Notamacropus eugenii: one gene and its partner. The protein of the gene in region 1 interacts with the protein of each later gene in a pairwise test. Links are inferred from orthologs where the notes say so. Each region holds a gene or a part of one and is shown on either strand. Other genes may lie near its edges. The genes, in order: LNX2 and LRRC8E.

Region 1 (8,917 bases):
GCCAGTAATAACAGACAGTACTTAACCACTCACCATACTTCTTTCAACAATTCTTATCAAGACTTCAAAGACTATATTATTAAGGTAATTCTGGAAACAAAACCCATATAGGCTACTTCAGAACACTCCCTCTTATTCAAAATTCAAACCATCAGAAAGCTTAAAAAAATTTTTTTTCCAATAGTTTGAACTTCTATAAGAAAAGAAGCAAATAAGCGAAGAGATGACACCGGGGATTTATTTTTTAAAGTATACATCAATTATCAGGAAAATACAAATGTAGTCTAATTCTGGATTTATAGTCATGGTATTTTACATTAAGTGTAAATCATTAAACAATAGTTTACACTTATTACTGTACTTTATTGTATTTTAAATTCTGGAAAGACATGAGAATTAGGGGTTAGGAGAGACTTGAACCTGGTTCTGACACCTACTAGCTAAATGACCATAGGCAAGTTAACTTCTTGGAGCCTCAGTATTCCCATCTGCAAAAACAGAGACAGTCCTAGTTAAGAAGTAGTTGAGAGAATACTAAGGTTATGTGAAGAAGAAACAAAATAAATGTCCTTTAAATTTCCATTATAAAAATATGTGAAAACTGGTAGAGGCAGCATGGGTAGAGAGCTGCCAGGAAGCCAAGTCAAATTCAAGTCTCACCTCTGACCCATGCTGGCTTGTGCCATGACCTGAGGGTTAACCTCTCAATGCTTTAGGAACTCTTTAAGTCTAGAAGCTACAGAGAGGATGTGTGCTTGTAATAAATGCATTTATATAATATTTTGTTAAAAAGATACTTTATTCACCAAAAAAGCCCAGTATATTTGTACAATTCTATTTTACAAATGAACAGACTTGACATTTAGAGAGGTTAATCAACTTGCCACCGGTCATCCATCTAGAAAGAGGGGTGTTCTTACCATTCCCAACACAGAATCATGCAGAATCCTGACCCCATTCCCCCAATTACTCTAGATAAATTGGATTTTACAGTAACTCTCTTCTAATCTATTTCACCTTGCTGCCTATATGATTAAAGTTTTTCATAGTAAGCACAAAAACACAAAAACTAACAACTCAAGCATTCAACCTGAAATTCACTACAGGAGAAAAGGATCAATGGGTCTATAAACTCTATTCTAAGGGATTTGGACAGAAACTGGCATTATTTTACATTGGTTCAGACTTGACCTATATTTCACTCATAAAAAAGTCTGTGTATCTCAGGTGAACTAAAAAGGTAAAACTTTGTTATTCAAGATCTACCTGGTCTTTGACAGACAAAAAATAACAATAATAGAAACTCCTTTTCTCCCTCCACTAGCTGTGTGGCCAACGTACAGTAGACATTTGAAGTGTCTGAAGAAATTGTCTTTCAGAGTACATTTTCTAGCCTTTTCCATATGCTCATCACTTGTCACTGATTATATTAATAAAAATCTAGCTTTGTATTTAACCTATGAGAATATAGCCACAATTCAGTCAGTTAAAAAAGGGGGAGGGAAAATAAACGATGAAGGAGTCATGTATAGAGAGAAAAGCACTGATTTCACAGTAATAATATGCTAGAGCAGGCATAAGGTTAGATCATCCCCTTTCTCCCACAGCTCATGGCTTTTCTGACCAATCCTCTTGGCTAGGAGTACATGAGGATGGTTCAAAGAATATGTGCAAGACTTGGGGTAAGAGCACTGAGGTTCAAAAAACAAAAAAAACAAACCCCAGGCCATGTGTAACAGCGACCCCGTTACCTATTTGGACCTCAGTGATTTGAGTGATTTCTTAAGTATCTTTCAGCTATAATCTTTTGATCCTTCTAAGAGCTAGGAAGATGAAACTTATTTGTAAGCTTTTGCTGCTATGGAGAGTGAGGCTGAAACTCACAATTTTAACCCAGCATCAACTAACAGGAGCCTAAAATAGTTTCTTTCTCCCGCACTAAGACTGTTTCACTCTACTCCCTTTCCAGGTTCTGTGATTTTTCTATTTTTTAAAAAATACACTTCCAAGTAGCCCTGGTACACGTTTTTTAAAATGCACAGATCCTGAAAAGTAGCACCTGAAAGAAGAGTATGTAACTGTATTCATAACAGTACATAAACTGGAATGCTAAAATTCAATTCCACTCTACAAACATTTATTAAGCACCTACTACAAAATAAGCGCTGGAACCATCTTCACGGTGAGGAGGGGCCAGGGCCTGTGAATCCATTTGAATAAATTACTTATTACCAGAGAGCTCAGTCGATGCCCACCAGCACCTTCTCTGCATTCACAGCCAGTTACCTGTCCTAGAATACTCAGTCGAGGGAATTTCTACCAGTGCAAAGCTGGAAAGCCTCTGCATCTTAGAGTCCCGAGTTGTCCAGAGTCAAAAAGGTGAGGGGACTTGCGTCAGACGTGCAGCTCTGGGCTCGCTGCCCTTCAGCCTCAACAGGTAACTGTACAGCGTCTTCGACCTACGGCATCCAAGGTGGGAAGAGGTGTCACTTCTTAACGGAAGGCTCGGGGACCACCTCTGCCCTCCTCGGGGCCGATAAGATCTGGGCAGGAAGGTTTCGGGCCACTCTCCTCCACCTCCACCGCCAGCCCAAGAGGGAGGTGATAAAAAGGCAACAGGTGAGGACTGGGGGTGGGGGACCACCTCCCCGCAGCGTCCCGGAGGAAACCAGCAGGGTTGCTCCGACAGCCCACGGAGAGGCGAGGGCTCCTTCCCCAGCTTCCTACCCCGGGATAAGCGCGGTCCCGGCCTGGCCCAGGCTGACTTCTCCCGGAGCGCCCGCCGGGCACCGCCGGCAGCGAGGGCGTCCCTCCCGGGGCCAGATGGGCCAGCCCCACACCCACCCCGCGCCCTGGTCCGGACAAGTCCGAGACGGTCCTCCAGATCTTCCTCCTCCTCCACCTTCGGACAGGAGCCGCCAAGAAGAGCGCGAGGACGCGGTGCCCGGGGAAAGGGGCGCAGCGGGGACGCTCCTCCCCCCCGCCCCGGGGCGCTGGCACCTGAGCCCCGCACGCAGGCAGACAGAAGGTCGCTGCCGCCGCTGAGGCGACGACGAGAACGCCGAGCGGGAGCGAAACGGGAGGCGCAGTCCAAAGTTACTTACCTGGGAATCGAGGGCTACCCCACCGCGGCACGGCGCTCCGGAAGCCTCGGTCCGCTCGGCCGCCTCCGCCGGCTGAGGGGGGAAGAGACGTGACCCGCCTCCGCTTCACCAAAAGCCGCCGCCGCCGCAGCCGCGGGATTCCTGGCAAGAAGCAAACTCCGGCCAAGACTTCACTTACGCCTCAACCGCCCCTGCTTGCTCACATCCCGGGGGCGAGCGCCCGCGACCGAACCGCCTAACCCGACACCCGTTCTAGCCAATCAGACGCGCCTCAGGTCAGGGAGGGGGCGGAGCAGGGAGAGGCTCGCCCTATGGAAGAGCTGAGGGGGTGGGGCGCTAACCCAGCAGAGCCTCCCGGGTTAGAGTGAGTCAGCCCCGCCCCGCTGTTCCCTCCGATCGCCCCTCCCCACCCTCCGGCTCCTTGGCCCGGGCTGTCTCCGTCACTTGCCTGATTTCCCTGCAGAAGACTGGCTCGGAGGCTTCCCCGGGGCTCTGGCCATGGGGAGTGGAACAGCTGGGGGGAAGAGTCACATGTGTGAGGGGGAGGAGAACAAGTGGGGAAAGGCGTGGGGAAATGTGGAAATGGGAGAAGACAGCTGGAGCAGGGAAAAGAGCAAACAGGGGCGGAGGTGGAAACGAGGGAAAGGGCTCAAGCACGTGGGAAAGAACACCTGAGGGAGAGAAAAGGGAAAGGGGAGGCTGGCTGGAGAAAAGGAACAATACGGGAAAGGGAAGGAGGTACGGGGGTGTGGGGCTCCGGGGCTCCGGAAAAGAAGGGATTCCCAACGGAGGACAGAAGAGGAAAAGGAAAGAGACAAATCTTGATAAGAGATGAGGGTTTCGGGGGTCAGGACAGGCCCCGAGGAGAAAGGATAGAGACCAGACCCCAAGTCTCCGCCCAAGCTTAAACGAGACTCGTCCAACTGCCCAAGCTGAGCCTCGAGGCAGGGACCGGATCCCCTCAGGAGACCCATGCAGACACTCTCCTTAGCCCCCGACGCAGCTGATAAAGCGAGCTGGGATTCCCACCCCGGCTTGTCCGCGTGCATTTCGGAGAGGAGCCTCGGCAGGGCTCCCCACGAGGAGGGGGGCGGGCGCGGGGGAGACAGTTGGGGGTGGGCTGGTGGAGGCCTGGGGGAGGGGATCCTCGCCCATTCCCGGATAGGTGCTTTGTGGGGAGGAGGGTCACCTGAGGCGGGGGCTGAGTACCCCCCAAGGTGCCCGGCTGCAGGGAATAGGAATAGTAACGAGCCCTGCCTTTGGAGGAGGGGGAAAGATCCCGCCAGGTGAGGGAGAAGACCACTCCCAAGCGAGGAGGCAAGGCCGGGTCAGGAGAGGGGATTACCCCAAGCAAAGGGGGAGGCCCCGCCGGCGGGAGAGGAGGGCGGGCTAGAAGATAAAAAATCTCTCTGCGGACTAGCGGAAAGGGAGGGGCTCGCCAGGTGAGGGGCGGCCGCTCCCCCGGGCGGGGGCGGGGGCAGAGCCGCCAGGAGGCACCGCCCCTCGGCCGGGTCCTCGCCTCGCCGCGCCGCCGCGGCTCCTCCTCCGGCTCCTCCTTCCTTCCTGCTCAGCCCGCGGGGACCGAGGTATGGGGCACATCCCTGGGGCCGCCCCCGCCACCTGAGGAGCCCGGAAGCTGCCCTCGGCCGCGCCATGGAAGAGGACGAGGAACTGGAGAGGTAACGGTCTGGACAGCGGCGGGTTCTGAGCGGAGGAGGGGAGGACGCCCCGGGGGGCCTGTGGCCCCGGCGTCCGCCTGTGCGGGCCTGGGGAGGCGAAGGGACGGGACGGGACGGGCAGCCTGGGCTGGAGGGGGGGCAGGGAGAGAGGAAATGAGAATCGGTGCCCCCCCCCCAAAAAAGGGAAAGGACACAGTGCTGCGTGTGGGAGGGGAGGAGGAGAAAGATGGGAAAAGTGGTGGGGCTCACTCTCGGGTTTTATTATTGAGAAACGCGGACACCCTGAGATTCCAGAGTAGAATGAATGTGGAAAAAGCAGCAGAAGGAACCGATGGACCCTAGTGCGCATTTATTGCGTGGATAAATGGCTTTCCAGCTAACTCCTACAACGTACATGTTTCTGGTGATTGAAATATTTGGAAAGTATGGTCCCTACCAGGCTCAGGTTTTTATATGGAAAACGGCCTTTGAAGGCTTGCCATGCCTTGGGAAAATGATTGTGATAGCTTCCATAAGGATAATTGGGGTGGGGGGTGAAGGGAGAGGGAAAACTAATTCAGGAGTTCTTCCTTTGGCCCACCAAGAACTTGGGTGGTTTTTTGGTTCATTTTGGGGTAACTGTATTTCAGTATCATTGTTTTCTTGTGTAATCCTGTGTGTAGTTAATTATTTAAAAACATCAGAAGGGCTCCATAGGCTTCACCAGACTGCCAAAGGGGATTCATGACAAAAACAGTGAAGAACCTTTGCCTTAGGAAGAGATAGTTGAATTTTGTTGCTCGAATGATGTTGCATGAAGGGTTGTGGAGGCATGAACTAGGAGAAGGTGGAAGGTTGGTAGAAGTTTCAGACCACTCTCGCTCACCCTTGTTCTTTAACTCTGCTCCCAATCAACAAGCATTTATTTACCTCCTATGGGTCAAGCACTGGGGGTACAAAGAAAGGCTAAAGACAGTTCTTGTTCTCCAGAAGCCCGCCACACACAGTCTAATGGGGTAAAGAAAATGTGACAATTATGTACAAGTAAGATACATAAAGAATAAATTGGGCATAATCATAGATACTGTGATTAAAGAAAGACTTTTTGCAGAAAGTGAGACTTTGAAGGAAACCAGGAGTCAGAGATAGAGAGCCAGCCATGGCAGGCGGCCAGTGAAAATGCCTGGTTGAGTAGAGGATGCAGTGAAGTGGGCAGAGACTTGAGTCAGGAAGACCAACCAGCAAGCTATTCTAGGGGTGAGGCAAAAAAGGCTTGCCTTGGGTGATGGCAGCGTCAGAGGAGTGAAGGGGGCATATGCAAGAAATACTACAAAAGTAGAAGTGACAGGACTTGATTAACAACTGATTGGATATGAAAGGAAAATGGAGTCAAGAATGACAACTTAGTTGTGAGCCTGAGTGACCAAAGAAAGGTGGTGTGCTGAATGATAATAAGGAATTTTGGAAGGAGGAGGACTTACAGAGAAAAATAATGATTTCAGTTTGGGGCATATGAAATTTAAGTTGTTTACAGAACATCCAGTTTGAAGTGTCTAATAGAAAGTTGGAAAGATAAGAGAGACTAGGCTGGACAAATAAAAGGGGGAGGGAATAAGTATCTAGCTTGTCAGGCACTGTATGAAGTATTTTTTACACTTACTTAATCTCAGATGATTGTCATGTATTAAATCTCATAAATATCTCATAGTTCATAAATAGAGCTGAGTGTCATCTGGATAGAGATGATAATTGACCCAGCCCAGGAGAGAGATGGAAAAAGGCTACAGGTTTAGGGGAAGAAAGGCTACAAGTTCACCTGTTAGTCACCTCTGTTCTGCAGTGTTATACTCAGCCCATTTTTAGTCAAATGATTAAGTTAGAAATCTTAAGGTAAAAATTGCATGTTTAGGGAAATTATGGTTACACAGCTTACACAGTTACACAGAGTTTGTTAAGATGTACCAGTATCTTGTCAAGCCAAAAAAAACAAACCCCAATACTGTTCTTAATGATTTCCTCCATTCTAGATTCTTACTGAAGCTTGGCCCCTTACACTTGATTTTCTCTTAGTTATATCCTGTTTCTATACCTAGTCCAAAGTAGTACTTACTCTACCTTGGAATATTGAGGAAATCAGTTCTATACTCTTTGGACTTTGAAGGCTTTTATTCCCTCCATATGGTAACTTATTAGCCTCCTCCTTCCTTGGTTAATGCTTAGTTATCTTTCTCTGATTCCTCACATTCTTTGTTCTTTTCTTGCATATCTCTGCCTCTAGTTTCCCTTAACTGATATTTCTATACCTTTATTGTTCTATTTCTATAACAAAGCTAGGCTCTACCCTCCATCTTGTAATTTGCTTGCTTGTGTATAGTTTGCCAAAGCAAAAAATGGGTCCATCTAATTCCATCCACTGAGAACAAGGTCTATTAATACAATCCTGATGAGTGATAAGACATTGACATATTAGATGAATATCAAGCCTTTATCGTTGTTCTGCCTTCAGTGGTAAAGGTAAGGAAGCACATTAGGTTTTGTTAAGAAGCAAGCATTGAGAGTTTCCTCCCAGAGCTCCCAACAACCTAATATCTCACCAAGTCACATATTAAGTCAGGCAGGTTATGGCAAAGTAGATAGAATGTTGGGCCTGGGGTCAGGAAGACGAGTTCAAATCCATCCTTAAACACTTAACTAGTTTTGTGATCCTGGGCAAATTATTTAACCTTTGTTTGCCTCAATTTCCTCAAATGTAAGATATTAGTAGCACCTACCTCACAGAGTTATTGTGAAGAACGAATGAGATAATATTTGTAAAAAGCCCTTAGCAGAGTGCCTGGCACATATTCACCTTATTATAATTATTATTATGCTTATTCCTCCCCACTCCCAATTTCATAGGTAACATCATGTTATTAGGATGCCACATAACAGAAGATAAGTAGCTTTGACTTTGTTAGAAGGAGGTTCTACTAGGTACTAGACTTTGTAGATCTGATTATCAATCAACAAATATTAAGTGCCTCCTGTTGTCTGGGAATAGATATAGGGACCATCCATCCATCAGGGAGTTTACAGTCTCCTGGGAGGAGTGTCTGCTTGTCCCTGTAGAGCTAAAGATGCTTGGTTGTCCCAGCGATTATGAAAACAACAATACTCTTAACACCTTAATTTTGTATACGAGAATGTGAGAGGAAAAAATACAGACAATTGCTATTTGCCACTAAAGGCAGTGACTAGAAGTGGGAGCATGAAGAATGGACACTGGACTCAAGAGTTAAAAGATCTGGGTTCCAATGTCTGTCGCTACCTCTTTGACCTTAGGCAAGTCATCTCACCTCACTGGGCCTTAGTTTCCTTTCTTTTGTGTGAGGATGTTGAAGTAAATAACTTCTGAGATCCCTTCCAGATCTGGACCTATGACTTCATAACAAACTATATTTGAATCATGAAAAATAGCAAATAGTCAAAGTATGAGAAAAGCATAATCAATAAGTTTAATGTTTTTGGAGAAAATAAATTTAGATCCATACCTTATACTATGTACCATAACATAGATCAATGAATTAAATTTCAAGGTATATTCGTTTCCATTCAGACTATATTCATTAAGCACATATTGTTTGTCACTCACTGTCTATATAAAGACAGAAAGAAGCCCATCCCTCAAACAACTGATGGATGATCTACTGGGAGGAAACAACATGTGCATGATACTCTACTAAATGTACAAAGATGGAGAAATAACAAAATGTCTATCCTCAAGGAGTCTGTAATATACTAATGGGGATAAGGCACATACAATCAGCCAAATACAAAGCACAATATGATACAGTAAAGGAGAGGTGTAAGAATTAGGAGGAAGAGGCCAGAACCTTGGAAGATAAATATACTTACTAGTTTTGAAGAAGATGAAACAAGTAAGAAAACAGCAGTTAGACAAGGAAGAAGAAGCAGGAGAGAGGGAGTATTATTCCACTGAAATGGGAGTATTATCAGGTGAGGGAGAATGTAATTTTTGAAAAATGCACTAATAATTGACATTCCCATAGTGATTTGAAAAGTGCTTTATTTACATTATCTATATGTGTATTTGCAGGTACTATTATTCTCTTTTTACAGATGAGAAAATAGAAGAGGCTCAGACAGTTTAAATAA
Region 2 (8,349 bases), on another chromosome or scaffold:
TTGTCAGAGGCCCAGTTCCATGTACGATAACCAAGTTACAGACATACATACACAGAAATAGTGATATATTCACAGTCAGTGATATTGGCATATACTGATACATACCCACTCAGACACGCCCATACCCAGGCTTGCTTGTGGTACATGAAAACATACCAAAACAGAAACATCCACATGACCATAGGCCTGCAGAGCATACACACAAATGTAGGCATATTTGTGTTAACAGAAAAGTGTAAGTGCATTTGCACAGACATATTCTTGGCAGTGCTGATAGAAGACCTGGGGTCAGAGGGTCATGACTCCTTGGTCCTCTAGCCCCACACTGCCACTCTCCTTGTTCTAAACTTTATAATCCTCTGCTGCCTATCTCTAGTGACAAACTGCTTAAAGCCCACTGCAATCTGGCTCCCACATTCCTTTCCAATCTTTTTTCATAGGACTCCCCTTCACCAATGATCAGTTCTTGTCAAACAGAAAGACTGTCGATTTTCCTGGATGTAGCTCTAGGGATCATCCTCCCTGATCCAAATTTTGTCTCTGGGCACTCTTCACATGACACATGCCTGGAAGGCCCTCCCTGCTCAACCTCACGGTCCCTTCAAGACTCAATTGATGTTCCATCCCCTCCTCCCCAAGGTCTTCCTTGATTCTACCTTGCTCCTCCGTTTTCCTTGTCCTATAAATATTTTTGTTCACATCGTGTCCCCTAACATAGAATATCACCTCCTTAAGAGCAAGCAATATTATTTCTCCACATCCTCCAGTCCCTAAGAGAGGTGCTTAGTAGGAGCTTAATATATTTTGAATTGTTCTGGTTTTCACAGCAGATCAGCATGGAAGTCATTTGTTAAACACCTAATTATGTCTATCACTGTAAGTCTCACTTTCCACAGCCAACATCAAATCTTCTCCCATCCTCCACCCCCCCAAAAGTCATATCATTTGTCCTCTTTGAGAATGAAAGATGGACAAAAATAACAACCCCCCTCAAAAAAAAACACCTAACTAAATCCAATGCACCACTTATCGATAAGCTTAGGTCACAAAGCCCTTGTTTCTGCATCAGTTCCTACCATGTCAGAGAAAATCTTAGAAATGTACTCAAGAAAGACAAATACTGAGGAAGAATCCCAGTCCCCATCGTGCATCTCAAACACCCAATCAGATAGATACACAATCACAGTAGACCCAGTCTTACTCATCGTTGGTTACTCAGTTACAGGCTCACATAGAAATATTGAGCAAACCCAGGGAAATAGTCACCAACCCACCAGTCTCTCTTAAATACTGACAGACACAATCCTAGTCACAAACACAGAGAGGTACAGATAAACAGAGGCAGAGATGAACAACATCAGACAAGAAATCCATTCCAGACAGATGGACACAAAAACACACACAGTCCCAGACAGAGCCCCAAATGTAGAGTGGCATATAGATTGGCAGACACATGGAATTGTCATTATCTCTGTCTGTCTTTAATTCTAACTTTGTGGTCCCAAACCTATCATTAAGCCCCCATAGACACATGACTGTCTCCACGCGCAAGGACATTGTCTGAAAACGATTCTGGTGGAAGGGCCCAAGGATAATAGACCTCTAAGCAATGAATTCTCAAGTGATGGGCAGCATCTACCCTATGACCTACGGTGATTTCAGACACTTCAAAGCAGGCTCTGGACCCCTGAGGAAGGCCTGATATCCCATCATCAGGACTTCATTCCTTTGAAGGCATTTAACCCTGACAAAATGCCAATATGTGGGAGGGTCCCCTAGCCAGTCATTTCAGTCACTGACTCCTTTGTCAAAGAGATTCATCTGTTCTTTTCCTAAGATCAGATCTGTAAGGGAAGATTTGAGCCCTGGATGCCTGAGGCAGAGTAGATGGGGACAGGAAGGTCACAGAAAAGAGAAGCCAGGGGACGCATGCACTTCATTTACCTGACAATGGCCTCCTGACCAGCCTCCCTTCCATCTCTTGCCTCACCTCTAGATGATATTTCTGGCATAAATTACCAAGTATCTTCCTAAAGTCCAGGTCTGACCATGTCCCTGCCCTGACTTTCCATGGCTTTCCCACCCTAGAGGGGAAAAAAAGGCACTGCAGTGGGTACTTGAGATGTTCTTCTAACTGGCCCCAACCTACCCCTGCAAGGTCATGTCTCCTTCTGCTCCAAGCACCATCCCCTCCTCATTCGTCTGCCCTAACCTTTGCTCTGTCACCCCTTTTTCTAGATGTCCTTCCCCCTTTTGTTCTATAAATCCTCTCCATCTTGGGCTTTCAGTGCTTGACCCAAGACTCACCTGTGGGAAGCCTTCCCAGACCATTCCAGCTCTATCTGAGCAGACAGCCCCTACCTATTCTTTGGCTAGAGATCTTGGCCTCTGCCCTATGATACTGGATTCATTATGGATTAGCTATCTTCAACCTTGTCTTAACTCTTCTAGGAGATTGGAAATCCCTAGAAGGCAGACACCCAAATATTTGTTAATTGGCCAAATCACAGGCTAGTCCAAAGGACAGGATAGTGGAGTGTCAATATGCTGAGGACTGAGGATCTCAAAGCTGACTGGAGAGATAGGAGTCAAAAATCGAGGAATAGGAATTGGGATTTTGAAACTGGAATCTCAGGGCCTGGGGTCTGGGGTCTGGATAGGGAAACAATCGCTTCATAAGTCAGGGGACCGTCTATGGTGACAGGGGCTCAGAGTAGAAGAGATCTGGACTGGGCCCCATAACAGGATCTATGAGGACTGGGGTTTAGGGTAAAAGAGGTCGGGACTAGGAGGGAATCCCGAATAAGTCTTCTCTCAGCTCTTTTCTCCCCCCCACCCCCAGTTCAGGGGCTCAGCCTCAATGGCACCGACAATTGCCCGGGGGTAGATCTCGCTCTTTTCCCGGCAGACTGTGTGTGGTGGCGTACGCAGCTCAACTGTCCCAGCAGATCTCCCTGTCGGGGGGATAATTCCCACTCTCCCCTCGCTCTCCACACTAGTCCTCGATTTCCAGGTGCAGCTCCCCAGCCTTCGGGACAGACCTCCGTTCTCCCAGCAGGTCCTCCTCCCCGTACAGGGACAACTCCCTCCCGCCAAGCTCTCGGGACAGAGCCTCATTCTCCTGGTCCAGATCCCTAGCCTTCCGGACAGATCCCCGTCCTCCGAGGGGATTCCCCTGCCGGGATAGATCCCCATTCTCAGAACTGAATCTGCTCTAGGAACAGACCCCTCGTTTGACTCACCCGCCGGTGCAGCAGTGACTCAGTCCCAGCTCTCGGGGAATGCGCTCCGGTCTCCTCCGGACGTCCCGAGCAGCACCGGGGCCGGGCGGGTGAGTCAAGTCGGGCGTGGCCGCTGGAGCTGAGGAGCCGGAGCTGCTCCGCCCACCTGGTCCCGCCCCTCACCCCAGCCCTACTCGGGCCAGAGACTGGAGGGAAAGGGAAACTGAGGCGGAGGGTACCAGGATTCAAATGTCTGGGCTTTCAAGCAAATCAGGGGAGTCTTCTAAACTGGGCAACGTAGTTGGGTTCTCTGGGGACAGAGCCAGTCATTTGAGGTCAGCCTCAAAGGAAGCTAGATGACTGTCCTGTAGGACTTTGTACTGGACCTTCAGGGGAAACTAAGCCTTAGGCACTTAACAGGTCATTCTAAGGGAAAAAAAGATTCAGGCACCCTGCCTCCCGACTGTCTAGCGTTTCCTTCTCTTCTCCCCAGATCAGCAGTTCCAGCTAAGGGAGAGGGAAAGAAGTGGGGTCCTTTAATGATTTCCCCTCAGCCAACCAATCCCCAGACCAATCCAGAAGAGGGAATATTAGGGAGTCAGCACCAAGGGAGTTAGAACCCTCATCCAGCCACTCCTCCAGGGGGTAGTGGTTATGTCCAATAGCTGCAGGGAAACTACATGGCCAGCCCAAGGGGTTCCACTCCTTTCACATCAGTCCTGCAGGCTCATCCGGCTCAGAACAAAAATTGGGGAAGAGGAAATGTAGGATCTTAAAAGGCTAGTTAACCCAAGGGTTGGAAAGAGAGAAGAGAGCTTCTGATGAGTAAACCTGGACATAGATTCTGATAAGAGGGAGCAGACAGTAACTAACCTATGTCCGTTCTTCCCTCTGACCAGTGGAGCCTCTATGGTCACCAGCAGGCAGAAAAAGGAGGGTTCAAAGGAAGGGCTCCAGGCATTGGGACCTGAACAAGGACTTGAGCTGGAGCTCTCCTGTCTCCCAGGGATCCTGTCCTACCTAGCTTCACTTAAACTATATCTATCTTCCCTGTCTGTTCCTAAAGAGGGTAAGCTGGCTGAACGGAGAGCTAGCAAAGAGCTCAATCAGGGGATGTCAGGTTAGGTGAGCTGAGCATAAGAGGTCAGTCCTTTGAGTCCTTAGCTCACCTGAGGCACTGTGACTCACAGGCCACAACCTCTCCTTCTCTTCTCATCTCTCTTACACTTTTATCATTTTTTTTTTTTTTTGCCACATTTTCCCTCTTCTCCCCCCATTGAAAAGTAAAGAAGCTGAGGAGGCTTAGAAAATGCACAGACACCTAAGTCTGTGGAAATTGGAGATTTCCACTACTCTCCCCTTCTCTCATCTGATGCTGCCACCCCTCTTGTGCAAGCCCTCATCACCTCAAGCCTTGATTATTACAACAGCCTACTGGGGGAGGGAGGGGTTCTGCGGGCCTCAGGTCTCTCCCCACTCTGTCTTTCATTCAGCTACTAAAATGATTTCTCTAAAACTTTGATCTAATCATGTCACCTTCTTACTCAATCAACCTCAATGGCTTCCTATTGCCTCCAAAAGCAAATACAGAATGCTTCGGTTGGTATTCAAATCCTTTTGTAACTTGGATCCTTCTTACCTTTCTAGTTTTCTTATACCTTGCTTCCCAATACTTTCATTTCGATCCAGTGACACTGGCCTCCTGGCTATTCCACAAACAAGGCATTCCCTCTCTTGGCTCTAGGCAATTTCTCCAGCTCTTCTACATGCCTGGAATGCTCTCCCTTCTCTACTCCAACTACAGACTTCCCTGGCTTCCTTTAAGAGCCAGCTAAAATCCCTTCCTTTATTGGAAGTCTTTACCAACCCCTCTTAATTCCAGTGCCTTTCCACTGTTATATATGTCCTATTTACCCTATTTGTAGCTTACTTTGAATGTATTTGTTTTCGTGTTTTCTTTCCTAGTGTAAACTCCTCCAGGGCAGGAACAATCTTTTGCCTCTTTTTGTATCCCCAGCACTTAGCACATTGACAATTAATAAATTTTTTAATGCTTTTTTCCAATTATGTGCAAAAATTTTTAACATCTGTTTTTTAAAATTTTCAAGATCCAAATTCTGTCCTCAATTTCATGTAGATTACACATGTGCAATGATGCAAAACATATTTCCACGTTAGTCATCTTGTGAAAAAAAAAACAAAGACCAAAAAAAACACCACCCCAAAATAAGGAAAATAAAGTTTTTTTTAAAGTATGTTTCAATCTGCATTCAGACTCTATCACAATCTGCATTCAGACTCTACCATTCTTTCTCTGGAGGTGGATAGCATTTTTACTATCATGAGTCCTTTGGAATTATCTTAGATCATTGTATTGCTGAGAATAGCTAAGTCATTCACAGTTGATCATTGTATGATATTGCCGTTACTGGGTACAAAGTTCTCTTGGTTCTACTTATTTCACTTTGTATCAGTTCATGTCTTTTTCTGAAAGCATCTTTCTCTTCATTTCTTATAGCACAATAGTATTCCATCACAATCATACCACAACTTGTTCAGCTATTCCCCAATTGATGGGTAACCCCTCAATTTTCAATTCTTTGCCACCATAAAACTGCTATAAATTTTTTTGGCACATATAGATCCTTTTTCTTTTAAAAAAAATGTCTTTGGGATATAGACTTGTTGCTGGGTCAAAGGATAGGCCCAATTTTATAGCTTTTTGGGCATAGTTCCAAATTGCTCTCCAGAGTGGTTGAATCAATTTGCAACTGCATCAACTGTGCATTAGTATTCAGACTTTCCCACATTCCTTCCAACATTTGTCATTTTCCTTTTCTTTCTTATTAGCCAATGTGATAGGTGTGAGGTGGTACCTTGGAATTATTTTAATGTGTATTTCTCTAATTAATAGTGATTTGGAGCATTTTTTCCAATTGACTTTCTTCATCTGAAAACTGCCTGTCTATATCCTTCAACCATTTATCAATTGGGGAATATCTTATGTTCTTATAAATTTGACTCAGTTCTCTATGTATTTGATGAATGAAGCCCTTATCAGAGAAACTTGCTGTAAAATTTCCCCAGTTTTCTGCTTTCCTTCTAACTTTGGCTTCATTGGTTTTGTTTGTGCAAAATCCTTTTAATTTAATGTAATCAAAATTATCCATTTTGCATTCTGTGATGCTCTCTGTTTTTTGTTTGGTCACAGATTCTTCCCTTATACAGAAATCTGACAGGTAAACTATTCCTTGCTCCTCCAATTTGCTTATGGCAGGACCCTATTTGTTTAAATCATGTACCCATTTTTACCTTATCTTGGTATACAGTGTGAGATGCTGGTCTATACCTAATTTCTGCCAAACTGCTTTCCAGTTTTTCCAGTAGTTTTTGTCAAATGGTGAGTCCTTGTCCCCAAAGCTTGGATCTTTGGGTTTATAAAACATTATGTTATTATGGCCATTTATTACTCTATATTGTGTACATAATCTATTCCATTGACCTACCACTCTACTTCTTAGCAAGTAATCAAATTGTTTTGATGATTATTGCTTTGTAATACAATTTGAGATCTGGTATTGCCAAGCCACCTTTCTTCATATTTTTTTCATTGATTCCCTTGATATTTTTGATAGATCTTTTGTCCTTCCCTTCAATATTTATTCTACCCTCTGGTTCTAGAATATCAGGGAAGTTTTCCTTGATAGTTTCTTGAAAGATGGTGTCAAGGCTCTTTTTTTTAATCATGACTTTCAAGTAGTCCCATAATTTTTAAATTGTCTCTTCTGGATCTATTTTCCAATGAGGTATTTTACATTGTTGTTTTTTCATTCCTTTGGTTTTGTTTGACTGATTCTTGATATCTCATAGAATCATTAGCTTCCACTTGCCTGACTTTAATTTTTTTTGCTATTTATTTTTTCATGCTTCTCTTCATTCTTGTGTTTGAAAGTCAAATTTTCTTTTCAGCTCTGGTCTTTTCATCAAGAATGCTTGAAAGTCTTCTATTTCATTGAAAGACCAATTTTTCCCCTGAAGTATTATACTCAGTTTTGCTGGGTAGGTGATTCTTGGTTTTAGTCCTAGTTCCTTTGACTTCTGGAATATCCTATTCCACGCGCTTCGATCCCTTAATGTGGAAGCTGCTAGATCTTGTGTTATCCTGATTGTGTTTCCACAATACTTGAATTGTTTCTTTCTAGCTGCTTGAAATATTTTCTCCTTGACCTGGGAACTCTGGAATTTGGCCACAATGTTCCTAGGAGTTTCTCTTTTTGGATCTCTTTCAGGCAGTGATCTGTGGATTCCTTGAATACTTATTTGGCCCTCTGGTTCTAGAATCTCAGGGCAGCTTTCCTTGATAATTTCATGAAAGATGATGTCTAGGCTCTTTTTTTGATCATGGCTTTCAGGTAGTCCCATAATTTTTAAATTGTCTCTCCTGGATCTATTCTCCAGGTCAGTTGTTTTTCCAATGAGATATTTCACATGATCTTCCATTTTTTCATTCTTTTGGTTTTGTTTTGTGATTTCTTGGTTTCTCATAAAGTCATTAGCCTCCATCTGTTCCATTCTAATTTTGAAAGAACTATTTTCTTCAGTGAGCTTTTGAATCTCCTTTTCCATTTGGCTAATTCTGCTTTTGAAAGCATTCTTCTCCTCATTGGCTTTTTGAACCTCTTTTGCCAGTTGAGTTAGCCTATTTTTCAAGGTGTTATTTTCTTCAGCATTTTTTTGGGTCTCCTTTAGCAGGGTGTTTACTTGTTTTTCATGCTTTGCTTGCATGTCACTCAATTCTCTTCCCAGTTTTTCCTCCACCTCTCTAACTTGATTTTCGAAATCCTTTTTGAGCTCTTCCATGGCCTGAGCCCATTGGGTGGGCTGGGATACAGAAGCCTTGACTTCTGCGTTTTTTCCCTGATGGTAAACATTGTTCTTCCTCATCAGAAAGGAAGGGAGGAAATGCCTGTTCACCAAGAAAGTAACCTTCTATAGTCTTTTTTTTTTCCCCTTTTCTAGGCATTTTCCCAGCCAGTGACTTGACTTCTGAGTGTCCTCTCCACCCCCCACCTCACCTCCAGATCCGCCCAGCCAGCGCTTGGGGTCTGAGATTCAAATGCTGCTTCCC

The links.
Region 2: the proteins of LNX2 (region 1) and LRRC8E interact in a two-hybrid assay, tested with the Homo sapiens proteins (3 studies listed by BioGRID and IntAct). The link is inferred for Notamacropus eugenii from reciprocal best matches to the Homo sapiens genes LNX2 and LRRC8E.

Annotation. Positions count from the first base shown.
Region 1 is NC_092876.1:195,754,470-195,763,386, forward strand, and holds the start of LNX2 (ligand of Numb protein X 2), read right to left. Parts: upstream 3,244-8,917; 5' UTR 3,105-3,243; intron 2,460-3,104; 5' UTR 2,287-2,459; intron 1-2,286. Other genes in the region: protein POLR1D, read left to right, coding at 4,077-4,390.
Region 2 is NC_092875.1:51,718,552-51,726,900, reverse strand, and holds the start of LRRC8E (volume-regulated anion channel subunit LRRC8E), read right to left. Parts: upstream 3,329-8,349; 5' UTR 3,243-3,328; intron 1-3,242. UniProt on the Homo sapiens protein: Non-essential component of the volume-regulated anion channel (VRAC, also named VSOAC channel), an anion channel required to maintain a constant cell volume in response to extracellular or intracellular osmotic changes.